4 linked regions of the Arabidopsis thaliana genome follow. The protein of the gene in region 1 interacts with the protein of each later gene in a pairwise test. Each region holds a gene or a part of one and is shown in the gene's direction. Other genes may lie near its edges. The genes, in order: AT1G70030, AT5G24050, HSI2 and AT1G74120.

Region 1 (4,973 bases):
CATGGTATGATTCGTATATCCAACATTTTTTCTGTATTATTTAGAATTTTTAACAATTAATACTTTCTCCCTAAACAAAGTTTATAAAAATTTCACTCAAGTTTCACTATTGAACGAATTGGTAAACAAAAATAAATGTTTTGGCTATTTAAAAAAAAAAATTGGTGCGGTAAAGAATGGTAAAATTGTAGCGAGGTGATAATAGAAAGTTGTTAAGAAACATCTCAAATTACAGCATCTTGGCCGATAATAAAACTAATATACTATGTTTGATCATCATATGATTTATTTTTCGTTCTAGCCTGCTTCTTTGATTCGTAGCCAAACAAGCTGGAGCACTCCCAAAGTCCCGAGTCTTAACGTTTTATGGCCCATTAACGATCTAAAGCCCAACATAAAGAACCTATTTCTATCCTTTGAGAAGTTTTCTCTGTCCGACGATTCATAGCCAATTAACGCTAAGATTACTATTTGATTTAATCTAAAATATCTTTAGCGAAAAGAAAGTTATTTACCAAAATCTAAAAATTTATATGTAATTATCGAAATCTTTTTAAAAAATTTGATATGTAATTATCGAAATCTTCTTATAAGAACAATATACCAACTCTTTTCTTTAATAACCCTAACAAAAAAAAGATACATAAATCTGGTGCATATACACATCTCTCTATCCGTCTCTCTCTGGGTTTCAATGGATTATGAAAACGGAGAAATAATAGCTCCTAAATCCACCACTTTATGGGATAGACTTACACCACGACAAAAAAAGTATGTGTTCACGTGTGTCTTGGTTTTTTTGATCGCTATCGCAACCGCTGCAATTATCGTTTATGCCTACTCTGAATCAGCACAAGAACGACGTGAAAAACGGCGTAAAGAACAACGTATAGAAAACTATGCACCGGATATTATAATACCATCTATGGATTTCACAGTCCTTAATTTAACCGAGACTAGTCTTAGTGTTAAATGGGATTTAGTGATCAGGCTTCCTTCAGATCTTCCTGGTTACTATATGTGTCTCAAAGGAGATTTGCAGACTTTCATACTTTACAAAGGTGTTACCATTGCTAATTCATCCTTAGACAGGTTACACTTTTTAAAAATTTCAATACTCTTTTTTTTTTTTTTTCTTTAACTAATTTCGTTTGTTCATATATTTTTGTTTGAACTTTTTTGTGTTATGCTCTATCAGTTACAATCTGATACCAAATTGGCCTCAGCTGCTTAATACCTCATCGGTAATTGCTTCTGAGGGAGATATGGACAGTGTTGTTGTGAAAGACATTATGGACGATATAAAGGAAAGAAGAGACATGCGGTTCGGATCGAGGTTGCTTCTTCCGGATTGTAGATCTGGGAGGAAGATGAACTATACGTGTGATGAAACTGCGGTTCGGTTTGAGCCTGGCTCTCAAAGGAAGGCAACTGCGTTTGAAAACGCCGCTCCTATATGCCACTATATTCACACTTAAGTAAAATTTTCATCAATAATGATTTTTATGTTTTAGTTTGCATATGTTGGATCTTCTTCTTTTGCCTTTTGATATCGTAGGAAAGAACTTAAACAACACAATGCGCTTTTGTTTTTTTTTCCTTTGGCTTCAATGGAATATACTTTGTTCTAATGTATTATTATTTTCGTTAATAATTATACTCTCATAGTAAGATACTATTTTTTAAAAAGATTCTATTTAAACATATGGTACTACATCAATATCATAAGTTAATCATTACATCAACTTAAAAAATTTATTTAGTTAGTCTGTTTAACGTACCGAACCGATAATTAAATTTCGAAATCAAATCTACCGATTGGTTTGTATCTAATAACCAAACTAGAACCGATTTGCACAAACTTCGGTTTGGACTTATCAATTTTGTTTTTAATCTGAAGGCCTACTTTTTTCTTTCTATAAATATTGGATAAGACTCATAAAAGTAGTATTTGGTATATTAAGAAAAAGAGTAAAAAATCCATATAAAGGAGAGAAAATCGAATCGTTATGTTAACAAAAAGATTATGTTTAACGTACGTGATATTAAGTATCTTTATATGACTCATGTAGTTATTTATAAACCTAAAACCTTACGACTTTCTTTGTGTCAATTGTCAAGTCTTTTGTATCTTCCTGTAAGCCTGTTACGTGTGAGGTAACGTGTCCATCAATACTTGTGTCCTAGCGAACTTTGATCGATCCTCTTCACTTTGATCCTATCTTGTTTCTATACTGAAATTCTTAGATCAAAATATAGTGTGACATAATCTGAGGAGTAAGTTAGATTCAAATCTTCTGGTCGATAGCTGTAAATTCCCTTGCAATGTTTTCTATGACTCTAATTGCTAGATCTGCGCTGGTTGTATGAATTTTTGGGATAATTTCGATTATTTTTCTTTGAACTTATATATCTTGAATTCGTTTATTGAGATTTAAGACTTGTATTGATTTTCAAAGTTGTTTATATTGGGAGTCGAACATTAATCTATTTTCTCTTCCTCTGGATAATGAAGCACTTGCCAGTTGTCAGTTTCAAAACCATGGTTGCAAATAAGAAGCTAACTACAACCGATGCACTTGATTTCCTCCATCTTGTAAAAACTAAATATCAAGATAATCGTGAAATATATGATAGTTTTCTTACGATCATGAAGGATTTCAGAGGTCAGAGGTATTTTTTTTCTTCTTCTTCCCTCATAATAGTTTCAGCTCTTAGTTATATAAAGTTTTGGTAAACTGTTTTTTTTTTTTTTTACTAATTGTAGAGCTAAAACATGTGACGTCATATCAAAAGTGAAAGAACTCTTCAAAGGGCAACCAGAGCTTCTCTTAGGTTTCAACACATTCTTGCCAACGGGGTTTGAAATAACACTCAGTGATGACGAACTTACGTCAAATTCGAAGTTTGCTCACTTTGACGAAGCATATGAATTTGTCAACAAGGTCAAGGTAGTTGGGCAAAATCATACTAGTAATTAGAGTTTGATTATGATTATTTTGATCCAAAAGATCTAAAATCTAAATAAAAAACAGGTTTAGTCATTTAAATTTAGAGAGATGAATAAACTTGTTTAGATTTTAGTGTTAAAATTTAGGATATCAGATTTATCGTTTTAATTAAGGGTTAGTTTCGGTGTAAATATTTCGGTTTATATCATTTGTATTCTCTATTGCTGTTTATTTTGCAGCCCTACTAGAAATTATATTACTCTTTTCTGTACAATTTTTTTTTTTACTTTTCTCTTAAATATCATTTTTTCTGTAGACAAGATTTCAGAACAATGATGTATTCAACTCATTTTTAGAGGTTTTGAAAACGCATAAAAAGGAAAACAAGAGCGTTGCTGAGCTCTACCAGGAGGTGTATATATATATATGTTTCACTACCTTTTCTTTTTCCATCTTTCTTGTATTGGATTTAATGTAATGTATTATTTTGTAGGTGGCTATCCTTTTTCAAGGCCATCGAGACTTGCTTGAGGAATTTCATCTCTTTCTTCCACATTATGGATGAAGAATGATGAATTATGTATACAATGAAGCCATGCAAGTTGTGGTTCAAAGCCACTTTATCTGCTTCCATTTGACTCAATGGGGATTATCATTAGTTTGTTGCTGAACTGGTAAAACTAGTACTCAATTTTTCAAGTTGTTTTATACTATTTAAACTGAATATTATGGATAATACACAAATTATTTATCAATTTACTTAAGACAATATAATTATGCTTAGTGAGAATGTACCAAACCTTTTTTTTTGGGTTAAAGGTTGCTGCACTAATTAAAAGAACAAACGGCGAATTACAAATTCTCAAATAAACGACAACAAACCCGACACGGTACAAGAAGATAATTTGAACCAAACCATACAAACAAAAGAATATTGCCTAGGTGTTGAGGTGGCTCAACTGTGGAAGCCAAAGCTCTATCAGATGCAATGCTAACAAGAGAGAAGTCGAATGCAGGGAAGAAGCTATCAGATTTTAAAATCCAAGCTGATGCGTTTACTCATTTCATCTTTAATTGTGAGTTATTAATTTTGAAAACCAGACTTTTTTTGTAGGATAAAGAACTTTTACAACTTTTTTTCTATAACCCTTTTAATATATGGTTTTTATTTTACTTTATTTGTCTAAATTTCTTTTCTAATACAGTTACAAACTTTTATATTTTTATCTTAAATATTTCAAAACTTTTAGATTTTATACATGGTGAAATCTGATGATTTAATTGATATTTGTTGCAATCACGAGAGTTAGCAAGTTTGAGATTATTGTTTTGAAATAAGATATGGAGGATAAATTTATTTTAAAAAAGAGAGAGAAAAATGAAAAAATAAGAAAATACTTAATTATTGTTTTGAAATACTTTAATTAATTAAAAACAACTATATCTTTAACTAAATTTTAATAACATATCATATAATTAAGTATAGGTTAAAGTTCATTTTCTTAAAAATTATCTTTCCTTAACAACTATATCTTTATTAAACTGTCTCATCTTCCTTTTGCACTCCAAAATAGTTTCCTCGTTTCTCTTCAATCAATCACTTAGAATGGCAGACGAAGAACTATCTATAGGAGTGCGGATCTTCGTTTCTTTTCTCATAGCCTTTGGTATTTGTGGTCTGGTTTTGTTGATGATAAAAGACAATTCTGGCAAAATCCCGGTGCCGAAAATAGAGTTAGCTTCAATGGATTTCACGGTGCAAAATATTACAATGACTCGTCTTAATGCAAAATGGGATTTGTCGATAAGGATCCCTGATGATCTTCCTGGTAAGTATATATGTCTTCAAGGAGACCTTGAAGCTTCCTTGCTTTACAAGAATGTCACTCTTGCTACCTCATCCCCACAAAAGTAATGAATCTATTTCCTACTATTTTTTAAACCCGTTTTAAATTCCTTAATTCGTTCGTATTTTCAAAACTAATTGAATCTTGTATATGATCAGATACTACAATCTCAAAT
Region 2 (4,240 bases), on another chromosome or scaffold:
GCAAGTAATAGTAGGTTTTGATACGATGGAGATGATCAAGGACATGGAGCTGAGCAGTCCATCTGGTATTGGTTTTGGGATTGAAGAAATCGAAGATGGTGAAAGTGAAGTTGAGGATGAAAACAAGGGCGATGAGGATGAAGGAGAAGACAAAGATGACGAGGTTTGAAAAGCTTTCGTGGTCTTATTGAGGAACTTCACATGGAAAAAACCTGTCTTATGCTTAGCATGCTTCACAATATACTGTGTTCTTGACTCCAGGAATGGGTTGCTGTTCTAGAAGATGGAGATGACGAGGATAACTATGTCTCAGACTCTGATGAATCACTTGGAGACTGGGCAAACTTGGAAACGATGCGATATTGCCATCCTATGTATTTTGCCAGGAGGATGGCCGAGGTTACTTGCAGTCCAAAAATTGATTTGTGATTTATCAAATATCCACCATGTGAAGACTATAAAACTTAGTTTCTTTATTGAAATTTAGGTTGCTTCAACTGATCCTGTAAATTGGATGGATCAGCCGTCCGCTGGCCTTGCTATCCAAGGGCTCTTGAGTCCTGTCATTGTGGAAGATCACTCAGATATCCAAAAACATATCTCTGGTTGTATATCTACAGGCACTGACAAAAACAAGGAGAGAGAAAACTCAGAAGAGATATTTGAAGGCATTGGTGAGAATGAATCTGAGATATTGCATGTTGAAAATTCGAGAAATGCTATACAGTACTACAAGCTGGAGATAATAAGAATCCAGCTCATCACGGCACAGGGGCATCAGGTTACGATAAAGCCTCTCCCTTTTTAATATATACTCTTTAAAAGGCTCTATGGAAGTTTTAGCTCATGCATTTGGTTGGTTGTGTATTTTTGCTTTTGAACAGACTGAAGTGGAAGTGGAAGACGTCAGGAAAGCACAACCTGATGTTATTGCTTGTGCATCAGATGGTATACTGACTCGTCTAGAAGAAGATGGCGATAAACTAACTGAAGCTCTCAGATCTCTGTGTTGGAGAAATAATGGGATTCAAGCAGAGGTAAAGAAACTGGAACTTTACGTTACATTACTGGAATTTCAAAACGAAGTTGTTGTATAGCTTTCACGACTATACTGTGACAATCATGATTATATCCATATGGTGTTACAATGTAGGAAGTGAAGCTCATTGGGATAGATTCACTTGGTTTCGACCTTAGGATTTGCTCAGGAATGCAAATTGAGACATTACGGTTTGCATTCTCGATAAGGGTATGTCGATTTTCGTTTTCTATCTTCTTAGACTCTGATTAGTGAACAATGATAATACATACGATATCACTTAGATTAATGCGGCCTGATAACTCTGTGTTGCAGGCAACATCAGAACACAACGCTGAGGGACAGTTGAGAGAATTATTATTCGCTTCTACACCTTCCAAGCCGCAGAAACCAAAACAAACGAATCAAAAGGAATCTTAGAGTCTTAATAATGTAGCTACAAGAAACATATTCAAACTGCAATTTCTCGTGTATCAATGAAAGTGCCCTCACCAGTCAGACATGAACTAACACTCCTGCTAACGTTAAAGATCGTTTGTGGTCAGACAAGCAATTTCAAGGTTGGCTTATTGGAGATTGGTGTGTGTGTGTGTGTGTGGGGGGGGGGGGGGGGGGTCTCATGTTGTTTCATTGTTTTCCAATTAATTCTTGACACTGTTTATACATAAATATATGATCTTCAAGTCTAAGGGTTAATAGACTTATTAATTCTTCAAGTCTCTGGGTTAATATAGTTTATACAATTTATACAGAAGACCTTATTAATTCTTCAAGTCTCTGGGTTAAGAGAGCATTGAAATTTATCCCAATTTATACATAAATATATGATCTGTCCAAATAGTTTTACATAAATCTCATCTCTTTATCGTAACTCTTATTTTTGTATTTTGTCACTAATAACTTTTTTACATTCATAAAACCCACTTCAAAAGATTGTATCTTAGTTTAGTTGTTTAATTACATTTGTATTCATAAAGTGAGAATGAGAGACTCTCACACACCTAGAAAAAGGAAATACCGAGACAAGGACTATATCGTAATTATAAGGTTAGCTATTAACGAAAATAAAATCAGACAACGGCTAATTAGTTACTAATCACAGTAATTAAACAACTAAACTCAAAGAAAAAAGGAAACCCTAAATTTGATGTAAGCAGAGAGCGCAAGTATTATTATATAATGCAATAGAGACTCTCTCATTCTCAGTTTCTCTCAGATTCTCTAATTTCCTTGTGTCTCACGATTTGCTCTCAGAAGAACTTGAGTTTTCGATTCTATCAAAAATTCACAATGACTAGTATCTATCACGATGATGACGATCATCTCACGGCTTCAGGTAAAGACCTGTGGTCGAATTTCTGTGTACTGGTTGATGCGGCGGTTATGTTATATGAAGAAGAAGAAGAAGAACAACGTCGTAAGATTGTCTCTGAAGAAGAAGAAGAATTCCAGAAGAGAATCTTTTGTCTCTTCCCGAGAAAAACAAGATCGTCTTTGGTGAAGAGACAACAAAATCTTATTAGGGTTTCTACTTCTTCATCGCTTATCGATCTTAACCAGTTCCCTACCGATTCTGAGATCGAAGACCCACAAAACCATCTTCAAGGGCTATCCTCTTCATGTTTCATTGCCGCTAATTCCGAGACAAAAACATTACAAAACCCTAGTTCAGAACCTTGTTCTTCACTCGGACTCTTTGGTCACAAGACGGCTGAGTACCAAAAGACGGAGACGAAAGACCCACCAAACCCTAATTTCCCATGTACTATGTCTTTGTGCCTAATGGAGAACACAAGCCGCAAGAGACGTGCTGTGGAACAAAGGAAGCGTAGTGGTGGAGTCAAGAAAGCAAATGTTGCTCCTTTTTCACAAACGGCGAGAGAGACACCTGAGTGGCTTGTCAAGGTGATGACAAACATGAAAGAAGCCAAAGACGCTAAATTGATCTTTGAGAAGACTCTGTTCGTGACTGATGTAAACCCAACAAAGAACCGTCTCTCAATGCCTTTCAACAACTTACTCCGAAACGATTTCCTGACGTCTGTGGAGTCCATAATCATAAACGAAGACATCAACAACAATAACAAGATTGGAGTGGGAGCGATTCTCGTGGATCAACGGTGTAAAAAGTGGGGTGTGATGTTAAAGAGATGGGAGATGAAGAAGGAATCAGGTAAAGGAAGCTGGAGTTACAATTTGATTTGTGGGTGGAACGACATCGTTGAGGCTAACAGATTGAAAGAAGGCGACAACATTACTCTTTGGTCGTTTAGGTGCTGTGGAATCCTCTGCTTTGCCATGGAACAGAGTAGCTCTTCCCTTGCTCTCTGTCTCTGCTAAGTTTCTTGTGTCGGTTGAGACTATAACTTGATTGATCAACACGCACAGCGATCTAATTTCAGGAGATTCTGGACTTCTTTTTTGTCTAAGAGTTTGATTAAGAAAATTAGTGTTCCTTATTAGTAACTTGTTCCATATATTGTTTCAGATCATTATAACCGTATGTACTATAGTATGAAAACTTAGCATTTTTGACATGAATCTTGTTTGTTGTTTGGTCTACTTTAGTTACTGCATTGTTACCTTTCGATTCCTTGTAATATATCTCCAAGTCTTATTTTGTCTAATGAAATTGATCCAATCAATAAAAGTGTTTTTAATACATTCATTAGAAATGCTCGATACAATCAAAACCTGTGTTTTGTTCTACTCAGTAAGAATCTGATTTTGAAACTCAAGTATGAAGAGCAAAATGATCAAATCAGGAACCAAATTTGTTGCCAAGACAGGTTTTGCTACAATTGCTTCTTCAGCCACTTGAATAAGTACACCGTACTTGGACGTTGATTAGCTCGATTTTCTCAGCCTTAATAGCAAACACAACGTTTCGCTTCCGCACATCTATAAGATCTCGTTTTCTTGTCTAGGATCTTGTCAGTTTATGATTAATGTAGAAATTCTGAAACTACAATACAAAAATACAAATCCTAGGTGAATTATAGTTTCGAAAATCCATATTAAAAAAAAAAATCCATATAGATTATTTAAAATACACCAATCAAGTGTTGGTTATTTTCGGATTTTGAAAAAACCGTTAGGCAATTTGAAAGCAAAAACAAAAAAAAAATGATCTCTATAATCATACACTCATTCGAATTTCTCCTCAAATTTGTTAAACTTTCAGAAAACTGAATCGAACAC
Region 3 (8,223 bases), on another chromosome or scaffold:
ATTTTCACAAAAGCCTATATGGCTTATATATGACATATTTTTACTCTGATACTCGATATTTGAGTTAATAAAGTTCATAATGCGTACTTTTCTTTTAGAAATGTGGTATACTTTATTGTTTTTTTATACTTTAATTATATGAGGGGTAATGAGATGCCATGATATTAGTATTGTAATTATATATTTTATGAATAAGATAAACAAAAAAATGTCTATTGCAAGCTGGGAACGTGAGCCCCAATTACAGCTGTGTGTGTGTATCAGGCATTATTGCAGTTTCTATCAGTTGATTCTGTTTCTTACATGCCGTCCTACAAAATCCTTTGCATGTTAATTAATTACTTAAAAAATATCCTAACTATATTATTTATTTCTAAGTATACATAAATATTAGAAAATAACATGATTATGATGTTGTGACCAGAGAAAAAAAAAATCTTCAAGATCACGAGTTTGAATACCAATGACAAAACAATAACTCTTTAACATGTTTTGGTCCCGAGTGTGAATTAAGAATATTGCAGCTTATGTTTTTGGTTAAAAGAGAAAAGAAGAAAGGTGAATCAAGAATATTGCGGCTGTTTGTTTCTCATGTGCAACATGTGTGGTACGAGATTGATGATTCTTGTTACGTTAGCCAACATCGCGTGATGACAACTATTCTAAGACGAGGTTTCACATGGCCGAAACATTAAAGCTTCGCTTAATCATATCAAACTCCAGAATTTAGTATACTTGATCATTATTTAGTATGCAATTATGCATGTAGTTCAAACTAATCATTGGATTGGATGTATTAGTCTAGATTTCAAACGTAATTTTTTTCCAAGGTTATGCTGATTTATATGTTTGTGACTTATCCGAATGTTTTTAACAACCAATATACAAATATTCGAAATTTGAGAATCATCATATCCTATTATCCTCACTACCAGTTAAAAAATGTCATTTGTGGAATTATATGGAAACACAATAGGTGAAAAAAGAAGAAGTTCATTACGTGCTTTGAATTTTATAGTTGAATTTCTATTTCAGTTTTATAATCCAGTTGTACTTGTATGATGCGAATCTAATCTAGTGGTTCGGACTATCCAAGTCAGTTTCATGAATTAAATTATGGGGGAAAAATAAAACTATTTATTACAAGGATAAGGGCAAAGTGGCCCTAAGTTGATTATATATCTCTTTTGCATGGTAAAAGATTATTTCCACATATGAAAATATGCAAAAATCCAAAAAAGGATTATGTCTATATATTTTGCTGTCAACAAGAAAATTCCATAAGTGTATAATGAAATTTAGGATAATACATAGAATACCACTCTTTTTACCAGACGGCGACATTTTACACTGAGTTAAAACTTATAAGTTTTTTACTCGTTCCAACAGTAGTCAATTACTCGATAGGTGTTACAAGCCTAGCTATATATAAGGTCAAAAAAGGGAGTGAAAAAACGTAGTAACTTAATAGTAGCTCGTTGATAATATAGAAGATTCCACCCAAAAGAGAGCGATTCCAAAAGATATGGTGTCATTTTAGTTAGATTTAAATTTGAACTAATTAGATAGAAAAGATTAAAGATTTAATGGGAAATACGAAGTGAATAGAGCATGCATGAGTAAAAGTTAGAACAAATAGATGATATATTCTTGGGTAGTAACGTGTTATTTGACAGAAAATCACATGCATATATAAAATCGTGTGAACACTTATACTGTATGTTTATCATGCGCATGGACTATTGGACTCCATAAATAGCAAGGTTATGGTTAAATGTAGTAAAATGGCAAAAAAAAAAACATAATATATTATATATATATATATATATTCAATTAACTACAAATCCTTCAAAAGTATTAACAAAAAATAAACAAATCCTACAAAATATATTGTGTTGATTTTTTGCATATTTCTTTTTGTCGATGGTATTTTCTTCAGTGTAGGAAAAAAAAATTCAATTTAAGCAAGAATGAATTTTTAGTTTATATTCCACCAATTCTTCCCATTTCGTTTGCAAGTTCTCTATAAATTTGGTATCTTATTTTGGAATATATATTCTACCATAAGACTACATGTTTGATATGAATCGTCAATTTTTACTTATCTATCGGTCTCAATCCACTCTAAGTTTTAGGGTATTCGGAACTCAAATTTGGTTAGAATACATATACAGAGAATGACGACAGGTAGAGTATATAGCATATACATGTACGCGATCGCAAATTTCTATTATAATCTTTAATTAGATAAGTAGAATTTATGTACTATTATTTTCTTTTCTTAGGATAATTTTTATAACTTTTACAAACTTAAATTAAAATGATTTCTTAGAGTAATTGACAATAACAAACCAAGAAAGTCAAAAGAGAAAAAGAAGAACCTCAAAGTCTTTTGTGCATGTGTGTGTTAGTGTCATGCATGCACTCTATATATTTATGATTTGCAAAAAGAAACATATATGTTTCTATTGAATAATTCTTTCTTTTCTTGATGAAATAATCAATATTTCCTTATATAAATAATACCCCAACTGTAGAAAGGAAAATACCTATAAATTAGTTGAATACATATAACCAAATATTAAAATTACGTCACCATACTATTTTTTTTCCAAAATATATGATTCCTACCAACCCTAAATTTCATTTCTATATATATTATATACCAAAAAAACATATCTTAACAAAGTCAAAAAAAAACCAAAGTCTTTCACTTTGTGTCTGTTCTAAATCTCTGCGAGTTTTCTTACTTTTCGAGTTTTGTGTGTGTCTTCAAGTGTCGTGCATGCATTTTATGCGTTTCGTTCACTTGCATGCTCTCTCCCTCTTTCTCTCTCTATCTCACCCATAAAAGTTTTAATTTTTCACATCGATAAATTAAATTGAAACAAAAAAAAAAATTCACCCAAAAAAAAAAAACCTCGTTGCCTTCTTCTTCGCCGTTACAGTCCTCTTTCTTTCTTCAATTCGCCGTCAAAATCTTCTCTTTCTCTTCCCCCGCCGGTCCTTCACCAATCCTCTGATCTCTCTACACACGAACCTTTGATTTTGACCAACGTCGATGCATGTTCATGACTAGTCTCTTCCTCAATCCTTCAATTTCATCAATTCACGTCGATTTCGTATCCGATTCGTTGTTCTAGCTCTTTGTGTGGTGTTAGGGTTTTAAGATTTTGGAATTGGGGTTTGGAGTTTGTGATGTTTGAAGTCAAAATGGGGTCAAAGATGTGCATGAACGCTTCATGTGGTACGACTTCTACTGTTGAATGGAAGAAAGGTTGGCCTCTTCGATCTGGTCTTCTCGCTGATCTCTGTTATCGTTGCGGGTATTTCTCAATCTCTCTAATTTCCTATTCTAAACTCCAAATTTCGTTTGATTTTTGACTAAAGTCTCGATCTTTTCGTGACCCTCTTCTTGATTCTCTGTTTAGCTCTTAGTTTGTTCATGTTCTGTTTTTTTGACTACGTATATGGTTTCTTAGTGCGAATCTTGACTCTTTTAATCTATAAATAGGGAAAAAATATGTGACTTTGGTACATAAAAGGAAAAAAATTGAGACTTTGGTTGTAATGATTTTGTTATAGATCTGCGTATGAGAGTTCTCTATTCTGTGAACAATTTCATAAGGACCAATCTGGTTGGAGGGAATGCTATTTGTGTAGCAAGGTGCGTTTTTTGAAACTGTGTGAATATGTTTGTTTTTTCTATATATAGAGTTTAGTGGTGATGTTTTGTTGTTCTGATTGAGATTCTGTGATGACAGAGACTACATTGTGGATGCATTGCTTCTAAGGTAACGATTGAGTTAATGGACTATGGTGGTGTTGGTTGTAGTACATGTGCTTGCTGCCATCAACTCAATTTGGTGAGTTTTTACTAGACTCGGTTCAGCGTATTCGAGTATATTATATGTAAGTTGTTGTTGTAAGGATTCTGTCTTCACGTTTTTCAGAACACAAGGGGTGAGAATCCAGGTGTTTTTAGCAGATTGCCAATGAAAACGTTAGCTGATAGGCAACATGTAAATGGCGAAAGCGGAGGAAGAAACGAAGGCGATCTCTTTTCTCAGCCACTAGTCATGGGCGGAGATAAAAGGGAAGAGTTCATGCCTCACCGTGGGTTTGGTAAGCTAATGAGTCCAGAAAGTACAACCACCGGGCATAGGCTGGATGCTGCTGGGGAAATGCATGAATCATCACCTTTACAGCCATCTTTAAATATGGGTTTGGCTGTGAATCCGTTTAGCCCATCTTTTGCAACCGAGGCTGTCGAGGGAATGAAACACATCAGTCCTTCTCAGTCCAACATGGTCCATTGCTCTGCTTCTAATATACTGCAAAAGCCATCAAGACCTGCTATTTCAACTCCTCCTGTGGCTAGTAAATCCGCTCAGGCGCGGATTGGAAGGCCTCCTGTCGAAGGGCGAGGGAGAGGCCACTTGCTTCCGCGGTATTGGCCAAAATATACGGATAAAGAGGTTCAGCAGATCTCTGGAAAGTATCCTTTATTTGCTTCTAGTACTTTTGCCAAATATTTTATTCTGGACAGACTTCTGGTGACTCATTGTTTATCTTAACAAATTCTAGTTTGAATTTGAACATTGTACCTCTCTTTGAGAAAACTCTTAGTGCCAGTGATGCTGGTCGCATTGGTCGTCTAGTTCTTCCAAAAGCCTGTGCAGAGGTAAATTTCCCATTCCTATGGTGATGTCTTTTCTTGTCCTTGAAATATTTTGTAGAGTTATGACTGATGTCTGCATTGGTATATAGGCATATTTTCCTCCGATTAGTCAATCCGAAGGCATTCCTTTGAAAATCCAAGATGTGAGGGGTAGGGAGTGGACGTTCCAGTTCAGATATTGGCCCAATAACAATAGTAGAATGTATGTTTTAGAAGGTGTCACTCCATGCATACAGTCCATGATGCTACAGGCTGGTGATACAGGTACTTTTAATATAGTTCATGTCTTAGCTAAAGCTTCAAGCATTTGCTGGTTTTAACATCAAATTTTCATGAACCATTTTCTAAAACTATTGTTGGTTTTCTGTGTTTTTCACCTCTACAGTAACTTTCAGTCGGGTTGATCCTGGCGGAAAACTAATCATGGGTTCCAGGAAGGCAGCTAATGCTGGAGACATGCAGGTTGGGGTTTCTATGAACTGGTTTCTGTAGGAATGTGCTGGTTTTTATTTTCTGCTTAGCTCCATTCTTATCCGGTTACAATATTTATAAATAGGGTTGTGGGCTCACCAACGGAACATCAACTGAGGACACATCATCGTCTGGTGTAACAGAAAACCCACCCTCCATAAATGGTTCCTCGTGTATTTCACTAATACCGAAAGAGTTGAATGGTATGCCTGAGAATTTGAACAGTGAGACTAACGGGGGCAGGATAGGTGATGATCCTACACGAGTTAAAGAGAAGAAGAGAACTCGAACCATTGGTGCAAAAAATAAGAGACTTCTTTTGCATAGTGAAGAATCTATGGAGCTGAGACTCACTTGGGAAGAAGCTCAGGACTTGCTTCGTCCCTCTCCTAGTGTAAAGCCTACCATCGTTGTCATTGAGGAGCAAGAAATTGAAGAATATGACGTACGTGGTAGATCATGTTGTTTTTTACAACCATTTGATTAACCCTTAACTTGATCCTTGGTTAAGTCATAGTTCATGTTAATGTTATACACAGGAACCTCCTGTCTTTGGAAAGAGGACTATAGTCACTACAAAACCTTCAGGGTTAGTTATTTCTTTCACTTCTCAAGTAAAAAAATAAAATGAATGGCAACGTATCTTCTCCTATAGTTTACTTCCATACTTGCAAATGATTTACTAACAAATTTCTTTGTGGTCCAGTGAACAGGAACGATGGGCAACTTGCGACGACTGCTCTAAATGGAGAAGGTTACCTGTAGATGCTCTTCTTTCCTTTAAATGGACATGTATAGACAATGTTTGGGATGTGAGTAGGTAAGAACTTTCACAAGTCTTTTCTTTAATCTCATGATCGCTTAAATCGAAGATCATTTAGAGTTTTTTTTTTTCTCCCTAGTGTCCTGTCACTGTAATTAATAATATATTCATTGATAGGTGTTCATGTTCTGCACCGGAGGAGAGTCTGAAGGAACTTGAGAATGTTCTTAAAGTAGGAAGAGGTATGAAATCTTTTATTTCCTGGCCTCTCATGGTTCTTTCTCATTATCTAGACTGCTTCCAAGTAGTTGTGACTTCTGAGCAATTTATGGTTTGGCGTTCATATAAAACATTCAGGATATGTATCTGTTATTTGTGCATGTTGCGCCTTCCTTATGTTAGAATTTTATCAAAATATGGATTGTTTGCTTGGTATCCTGCAAATTTGTTTCTGAACGCAGCTTACTTTTCATAATCTCAGCTTATTGAGAATCTCAAGACACTAACTGTATGCATATATATATAGAGCACAAGAAGAGAAGAACTGGGGAAAGCCAGGCAGCAAAAAGTCAGCAAGAACCGTGTGGTTTGGACGCACTGGCGAGTGCAGCAGTCTTAGGAGACACAATAGGCGAGCCAGAGGTAGCGACCACGACCAGACATCCAAGGCACAGGGCTGGATGCTCTTGCATCGTGTGCATTCAGCCACCAAGTGGGAAAGGTAGGCACAAGCCTACATGTGGCTGCACTGTGTGTAGCACCGTGAAGAGAAGGTTCAAGACGCTTATGATGAGGAGGAAGAAGAAGCAGTTGGAGCGCGATGTAACAGCAGCAGAAGATAAGAAGAAGAAGGACATGGAACTGGCTGAGTCTGATAAGAGTAAGGAGGAGAAGGAAGTGAACACAGCGAGAATAGACCTGAACAGTGATCCATACAATAAAGAAGATGTTGAAGCTGTTGCGGTGGAGAAAGAAGAGAGTCGAAAAAGAGCAATAGGACAGTGTTCGGGCGTGGTGGCTCAAGACGCCAGTGATGTTTTAGGAGTTACAGAGTTAGAAGGAGAGGGTAAGAATGTTCGTGAAGAGCCGAGAGTTTCAAGCTGATATGGAAGGAAAAAGGGAAAGGGTAAAAGCCAAAGTCATAGCCAGTTTTATTAATATGCTGAGACCAAGAGTAGGAGAAGAAGAAGAGAAAGAGAGAGAGAGAGAGAGAGAGAGAAGTACAGTTTTGTGTTTGATTCTGTCATAGTTGTAGGAAAAATAAGTTTCTGGTTCTAAACAGCGACAATGTCCCATCTTTTGTTTTTTGTTTTTGTTTTTGTATTTTTATGGTATCGTGTTGAGTTTGGGGTTTATAGTATGTCTCCATTAATCTAGGTTTTGTTGTAGAAGGCAAATGGAGCTTTGTGCTTGGTGATGAAACAGTTGAGTTGATTTTTTTTTTTGTAATTGTTTTCAACCAAATGCCTAGTTGGTTTAATTTTTTTAAAAGTTGTTTCTTATAATATTGTTAAACACAAATTATGACAGTTGTTGAAAACTGCATGAAGTAGACTTGTAAATGGTATAAGGAGATTAATTAAGAGGTTAAATCATTTTACCAAAAACAATTACGATAAAACCTCTACAAATTAATAATATTAGAAACGAAAAATTCTATATATTCATAAATATATTAATTTATCGATAATTTTAATAATTATTAATTTATAGTGAGGTTTACTAATTTTGTAATTAAAAAAATAATATCTAAAAAACAATTTTTTCTTTACAATCAATATATTTCTAAAACAGTTACAAGTAGAAAAACAATAATAAGTTTAGAATAAAAAAACAACATAAACTTTTTTACATGTAGTAAGCATATTTGAAATGAACTCTACCAGAATTAATATTAACTTAAGAAAAACAAACAATATTAAGTCATACTACACTAAAGTTTTTACATATAATATATATATATATATGATGTCATATATAAAATACTATTATATATTATAAATATTAAGTTGTATATATAGCAATAAGTTTAACAATTGTTAATTTATGATATGATGAGATAATATGTTTACATAGAATTTTCAAAAATGACTTCTTAAAATTATTTTATTGATTTATATCATTTATGTCATAAAAAATTATTAATATATAAAAAATAATAATTCATCGATTATTAATTGATTGAAGTTTTACGTTTATTGAACTAATTTTGTACATGGTACTTCGCTCTTGGTCCTCATCCATTACCGATAGGATAGAGATATGTTACTACATGATTTAATGGCTAAACAAAGATACTTTCGGTTTC
Region 4 (5,159 bases), 1.5 Mb from region 1:
AAAACATGAGCGTGTGCATCTCTGTTCCAGTCTGTTTATACTTTTAAAAAATAATTTAACTGGATGAGTGAAAAAACATACCAGCTTCCCAATGGGGACTTTTAATTGATCCTTAGGGACAACTCTTTGGCCCTGTATGATTGATTAACCAATAACAAAGGTAAAGCATTTCGTCTAAACCTCACAAACACATAGAGAACATGTACGTAGTACAAATGCACTGGAAAAACTACACATCTGTGGACCTAGCATGGTTAGGAAAATGAGAAAATTATGCTTGTTGCACTATACCTTGAGTGATATAACCGAGAGAGCATGACTACTCAAGAAGAAAACAGAGCCACCAAGTGCTCCAGCAAAGTAGAGCTTCAAAAGGTAGCGCGGCCCAAAGCTTCTTGCAATCTAAGAACAAATGGGATTCGATATAAAGATCAATAGGTAGCAAGTTTTTCTTTTTAAACGAACTAAGGACGGTCCTTAGATGAGCCAGATTAAGTGTAAGTAGCCGGTTCATACTTCATAGGAAACAAATGAAAGCATTTCTCATTTCGTTTACGAAAATTAATATATGGAAACAAGGAAAAAATCTTACTCTGGCTCCGAAGTAGCAAAGCCCCATCATATTCAAGATGATATGAGTGGCTCCAACATGACTGAAACCCGAAGTGATCAGCGTGTGTATACGTCCAGTCATAAAACTGTACCTTGATAACTGTCCAAATACCATATGGTTAATAATACATGTAGATTTTTTATTTTTAAAAAAGTTGTTAGAATTTGATGAGGTCAGACCATAAAATTCTTCACCATCCACATATTGTCCTTGCCTAAAACCCGCCACATTGTAAATACAGCAGCATTAGCTATTACCAATCCAAAAACTACACCATTAGCTCCATTAATCCAAGACTTCCTGCCAGAGTTAAACCAATAAAGTGGTTTTTTCTTTTTGGTATTAGTATCCAAAATCAAATGGAGCAGGTAAAGAATCTAAGATTTTTGATGTAGGAGAACAATTTTTTAAAGGAGAAGGTCTAAACAGTGTCCAGCTTGCTATTCTATGTCTTATCTATAAAGAGAAAAGCATCAAAAGAGCTTTGTGCTGCTCAAAATCAAGAACTACGCAGAAATGGAAGAAAAAAAAAGCCTACTAATTTCTCTGAATCCTGACACGTCTTTTACTTGGAAGAGCCAAACGTACAATTGACCAGAAAAGCTAAAGAGAGTTGTGAAAAAAGGTCGATGCTTTACCAAATAAATCCTGTCAAACCCAGAAATTTTATGGTGAAGACAAATTTATCTTTGAAAAATGTAGTTTTTACTTGGAAACAAATAGGTACAATATAAAACAGAGGACCATAGAGAAAGGGGAACTCAGAATTTTTCTTAGGAAAGGTTCCAACTTTACTTTGAAAAACAAAAAGGGAGAGGAAAAGAAACGATACCATCCACGTTTTTGAAACCCAGTAAAACCACCAGACTCGAATCCATGACTAGGAAGCTCAGAACTGAAGAACCCAGCTCTAGATTCCATAACATTTCCGAATTTCAGCTTCAGATTGGTGTTTCCCAACTTCCCTGCGAAGAATCCATGAACTCTCGCCGATCGTGATACAACATAAGGAGGAACAAAGCGGGAAGAGAGATCAAAAGGAAGAAGATGGCTCAGGGAATGGCGACTCTGGCTCGCCTGCTTCGTCACCAATTTGGTTAGCTGCGGGGAAGAGCAACCGACGGCGACCCTGCGACAGAAAATCGCATGCATTTCGAAACTAATTTCAAATGTTTTACCAAATGGCGCAAAAATAAGAGAATAGCATCAACTTCTTCTGATTATTCATGAAAAGTGTGTGTTTCAAAAACTCAGGTCTTTTAAGTGCAATAAAATAGTGATGTAAATGTAACAAGAAGTAACAACTTTCTTTTTTTAGGTAAACAAAAGATTCCCTCCGGTTTAGGGAAATTGTAAATATACAACTTCCAACTTTCATTAAACCATGACGTTCCCATCTCTAAACCACAATCCCACTCAAGACAAGGTTAAATGTCTTACAAAACAAATAGTGGGTGGCATTTTCGGAATAAGATGAAACATTGAGGGTACAAATAATAATCTTAATTTTGTACACGTCGTCATCGTCTTTCTTCCTCCTTCGTACAGTGATTGAGTGCCTTGAAACTAAATAAAAAAATGGCCTCAAAACTCAAAACCTTCATCAATCTCCGTGACTACCCAATAACCCTATTCAACCAGATTCGATCACTATCCTCACGAATTCTCACACCTATCAATCAATCTCACTACAGGAAACGAATTTTACTCGCGAATCTCCTTCAGAGGTATGGTTTCCCTCCTTCTTCTCTTCAGCACTTCCTCTCAAGAAACAATCACCTATTGAATTCGGACTTAGTAGAAACCGAAATTTCTCTCGGCATCCTATTGTCATTGAAAATCCCTCAGAAATCACTCGTTTCGTTGATTTCCGATTGCCCTAATGTTCTGCGATCAGAGTTTCTGAGGAAATGGAGAGTTCCTCTGTCTAATTGCGGTAAACACGGTGTCGTCTCATCTTCTGCGATTAAGAGCGTCCTTGAACATTCTAGTAGAATTGGGATTGGTCCAGATAAGTTTAATGAGTGCGTAAGGGTTTTGAAGAGTTTAGGGTTTTGTGATAGTACTGTGAGTAGGATTTTAAGTTCATTCCCTGGTGTTCTTTTAGTGAATGAGATTGAAATTCGTAGGAAGATTGAGTTTTTAGTTGGAATTGGCATTGCTCGAGATAACATTGAGAGGTTCTTTCACGTTTTTCCTGAAGTTCTAGGGATTGGTACTGAGACTAGACTTAAGCCATTGCTTGATGAGTTCATGAAGATGGGGTTTAGTAAGGATGATGTAAAGAAAGAGATTGCTAGAGAACCGAGAGTTCTTGGTTTGGAGTTAGGTGAGCTTCCGCGGTGTTTGGAGTTGATCAACACATTGAAATGCCGGGAAGTGATTAGAGTTAGTATAATCAGCGAAGGAGCATTTCGTGCTGGGTTTGAAGTGAAGCTCAGAGTTGATTGTTTATGCAAATACGGGTTGATTCGTAGAGATGCATTCAAGGTTGTATGGAAAGAGCCGAGGGTGATCTTATATGAGATAGAGGATATAGAGAAGAAGATTGAGTTTTTAACTAACAGAATGGGATTTCATATCAATTGTTTAGCTGATGTACCGGAGTATCTAGGGGTTAATCTTCAGAAGCAGATCGTTCCACGGTACAATGTCATTGATTACTTGAAACTAAAAGGTGGGCTTGGCTGTGATATTGGATTGAAAGGTTTGATCAAACCAAGCATGAAAAGATTTTATAATTTGTACGTGATGCCATACCCAGAGTGTGAAAGAATCTTTGGAAAGAGAAAAGAGAATGTCCGAGTGAATAAACGACATCCCGCAGGGCTTTGGAAGCTTATGAAGCCGCCTAGCAATCTAACAACAAAAGAAGATGTGCAGAACATGAAGTCCTTTATAGAGTCACTTGCTTAGTATGTTGGATCTTGGACTTGCCTCTTACTAGATTGAAAGAGATCGGCCACTCTCTAGAGGGTTCTTGCTCCCTCACTTTGCTATGAGCTGCTCTGAATTGATATGGGTTATCAGGAACTTTCAGTGACTATCGAATCTGATCTCAACTCGCTCGAGTTCATGGCTTGATTATTCAAAGGACAATGCATACTCCTGAATAAGCCATGCTCACTTCTCGTTGTGCATCTTGGGAAGACATCTACCAATGCCATTGCCTTCGTTTCCATGTCTCTGCCTGATAGATTTGCTGAGCAAATGTAATTGGACTTTGGTTCTAAAAAGTCAAGTGCCATGTTCCAACTTCCAACTGTAACTACTAGTTAGGGATGTTACGTGGGCCGAGCCAGGCCGGCTAGTAGCCCGTTTTGGCAACTTTTATGCTAGGCCGATTCATCTGTTCCGTGATCCATCCCAGACAAACCATTTGTTTTTGGCATTTATACCAAAAATATTTGTTTCCAACAATTTTTTTTCTTAAACATTATTTTCAAATGTTTTACGTAAAAGCTCTGTTAACAAGAAACTTAGATTTATGTATGGAAGAATTGGTTATACATGAGTCAGTAAGTCATGAAATCTGTATAATGGGAAGAAGTTAATCAGTTAAATCTTATTTATTCCAAGAGGGTGATTGGAGAAAAAAAGAAGAAGAAGAGAGTTATTGGTAACTAGTGTTATTTATGTATTAATGAAGAAGAGAGTTATTGGTGTTATATATGTATTAATCAATCACAAATTGTACTACTAGTTAATTATGTAAGTAAAATCAATTGAAATGCAATATTAAATTTCCATGAAGATTTTAATTATAGAGAAAATTAAACTTTTCTATACATAGATAGATTACATGGTTCAATAAAAATTATTGTGAATAACAAGAAGTATTTAAAAAACGAAACTTATACTCTAAAAAAAAAAAAAAAAAAAAGACCAAGTGTTAAAAGGCTTGTAATGTAAGAAGCGACAGTTGGTCAAATAACATCTTTGACTTGGTCAACGTATTTTAACAACGGTTTTCTGTTAGAAATGGACTAATAGTATTAACTTACAAAAGACACACCCGATTTGTGAGTTGTGACATTTGCTTTGTCCTTAAGTATCACCACAAGCCAGCTTATATTGTCTCTATAGTTAGACAACCTTTGACCTTATTATACATACGTATATATGGAGCTTTTTTTTCAATTTCATATGGCATATATTTGTGTCACTGTGTGTGTGGTATCAATGTTCAAGGGAGACAGTTTTGTGGTTAACGAGGTCGATGCTTTGTTTGGTCCATACCCTGCATCGTCCATGGCCACCATATTACTATGTTTCGTGACGTAATTGATGATATGTATATCAAATTTCAACTCAAACTAGTTGAATATGAATGATGCAATTATGCACATTGATTTACAGGCCAGCGCTGGATTTAATATCCATTGAGCAAGTTATGAGAAAACAGTGGTCAATTAGTCAATTACCATTAAGTTCTTTTGAAGAGTCCAATATGGAACAAGATCAAACAAATTATGAGACTACAAAGACTTATGAGTTTATAACCAACTGAATTAAATTTCTATAAACAGACTCTTCCCTCTTGCAC

The links.
Region 2: the proteins of AT1G70030 (region 1) and AT5G24050 interact in a two-hybrid assay, tested with the Arabidopsis thaliana proteins (one large-scale study listed by BioGRID).
Region 3: the proteins of AT1G70030 (region 1) and HSI2 interact in a two-hybrid assay, tested with the Arabidopsis thaliana proteins (one large-scale study listed by BioGRID).
Region 4: the proteins of AT1G70030 (region 1) and AT1G74120 interact in a two-hybrid assay, tested with the Arabidopsis thaliana proteins (one large-scale study listed by BioGRID).

What each region holds. Positions count from the first base shown.
Region 1 is NC_003070.9:26,376,676-26,381,648, forward strand, and holds AT1G70030 (Paired amphipathic helix (PAH2) superfamily protein), read left to right. Parts: upstream 1-1,965; 5' UTR 1,966-2,157; intron 2,158-2,180; exon of another isoform or gene 2,181-2,509; coding exon of another isoform or gene 2,510-2,542; coding exon 2,543-2,673; intron 2,674-2,767; coding exon 2,768-2,951; coding exon of another isoform or gene 2,952-2,981; exon of another isoform or gene 2,982-2,989; intron 2,990-3,267; coding exon 3,268-3,363; intron 3,364-3,444; coding exon 3,445-3,516; 3' UTR 3,517-3,704; downstream 3,705-4,973. Other genes in the region: AT1G70020 (transmembrane protein, putative (DUF1163)), read left to right, coding at 695-1,092, 1,199-1,478; AT1G70040 (transmembrane protein, putative (DUF1163)), read left to right, coding at 4,558-4,862, 4,957-4,973.
Region 2 is NC_003076.8:8,127,492-8,131,731, reverse strand, and holds AT5G24050 (plant-specific B3-DNA-binding domain protein (DUF313)), read left to right. Parts: upstream 1-2,329; coding exon 2,330-3,379; downstream 3,380-4,240. Other genes in the region: AT5G24060 (Pentatricopeptide repeat (PPR) superfamily protein), read left to right, coding at 2-163, 262-399, 488-781, 885-1,037, 1,154-1,249, 1,355-1,459.
Region 3 is NC_003071.7:12,979,700-12,987,922, reverse strand, and holds HSI2 (B3 domain-containing transcription repressor VAL1), read left to right. Parts: upstream 1-2,645; 5' UTR 2,646-3,198; coding exon 3,199-3,326; intron 3,327-3,585; coding exon 3,586-3,667; intron 3,668-3,764; coding exon 3,765-3,866; intron 3,867-3,953; coding exon 3,954-4,498; intron 4,499-4,587; coding exon 4,588-4,684; intron 4,685-4,770; coding exon 4,771-4,945; intron 4,946-5,066; coding exon 5,067-5,143; intron 5,144-5,237; coding exon 5,238-5,597; intron 5,598-5,691; coding exon 5,692-5,741; intron 5,742-5,858; coding exon 5,859-5,972; intron 5,973-6,092; coding exon 6,093-6,157; intron 6,158-6,441; coding exon 6,442-7,019; 3' UTR 7,020-7,495; downstream 7,496-8,223. UniProt on the Arabidopsis thaliana protein: Transcriptional repressor of gene expression involved in embryonic pathways, such as LEC1, ABI3, and FUS3. Repressor of the sugar-inducible genes involved in the seed maturation program in seedlings.
Region 4 is NC_003070.9:27,870,293-27,875,451, reverse strand, and holds AT1G74120 (Mitochondrial transcription termination factor family protein), read left to right. Parts: upstream 1-2,119; 5' UTR 2,120-2,191; coding exon 2,192-3,529; 3' UTR 3,530-4,278; downstream 4,279-5,159. Other genes in the region: AT1G74130 (Rhomboid-related intramembrane serine protease family protein), read right to left, coding at 82-132, 292-402, 593-712, 793-913, 1,446-1,765. UniProt on the Arabidopsis thaliana protein: Transcription termination factor required for mitochondrial NAD2 intron 3 splicing and normal membrane respiratory chain Complex I activity. Essential for normal plant growth and development. Binds to RNA but not to double-stranded DNA.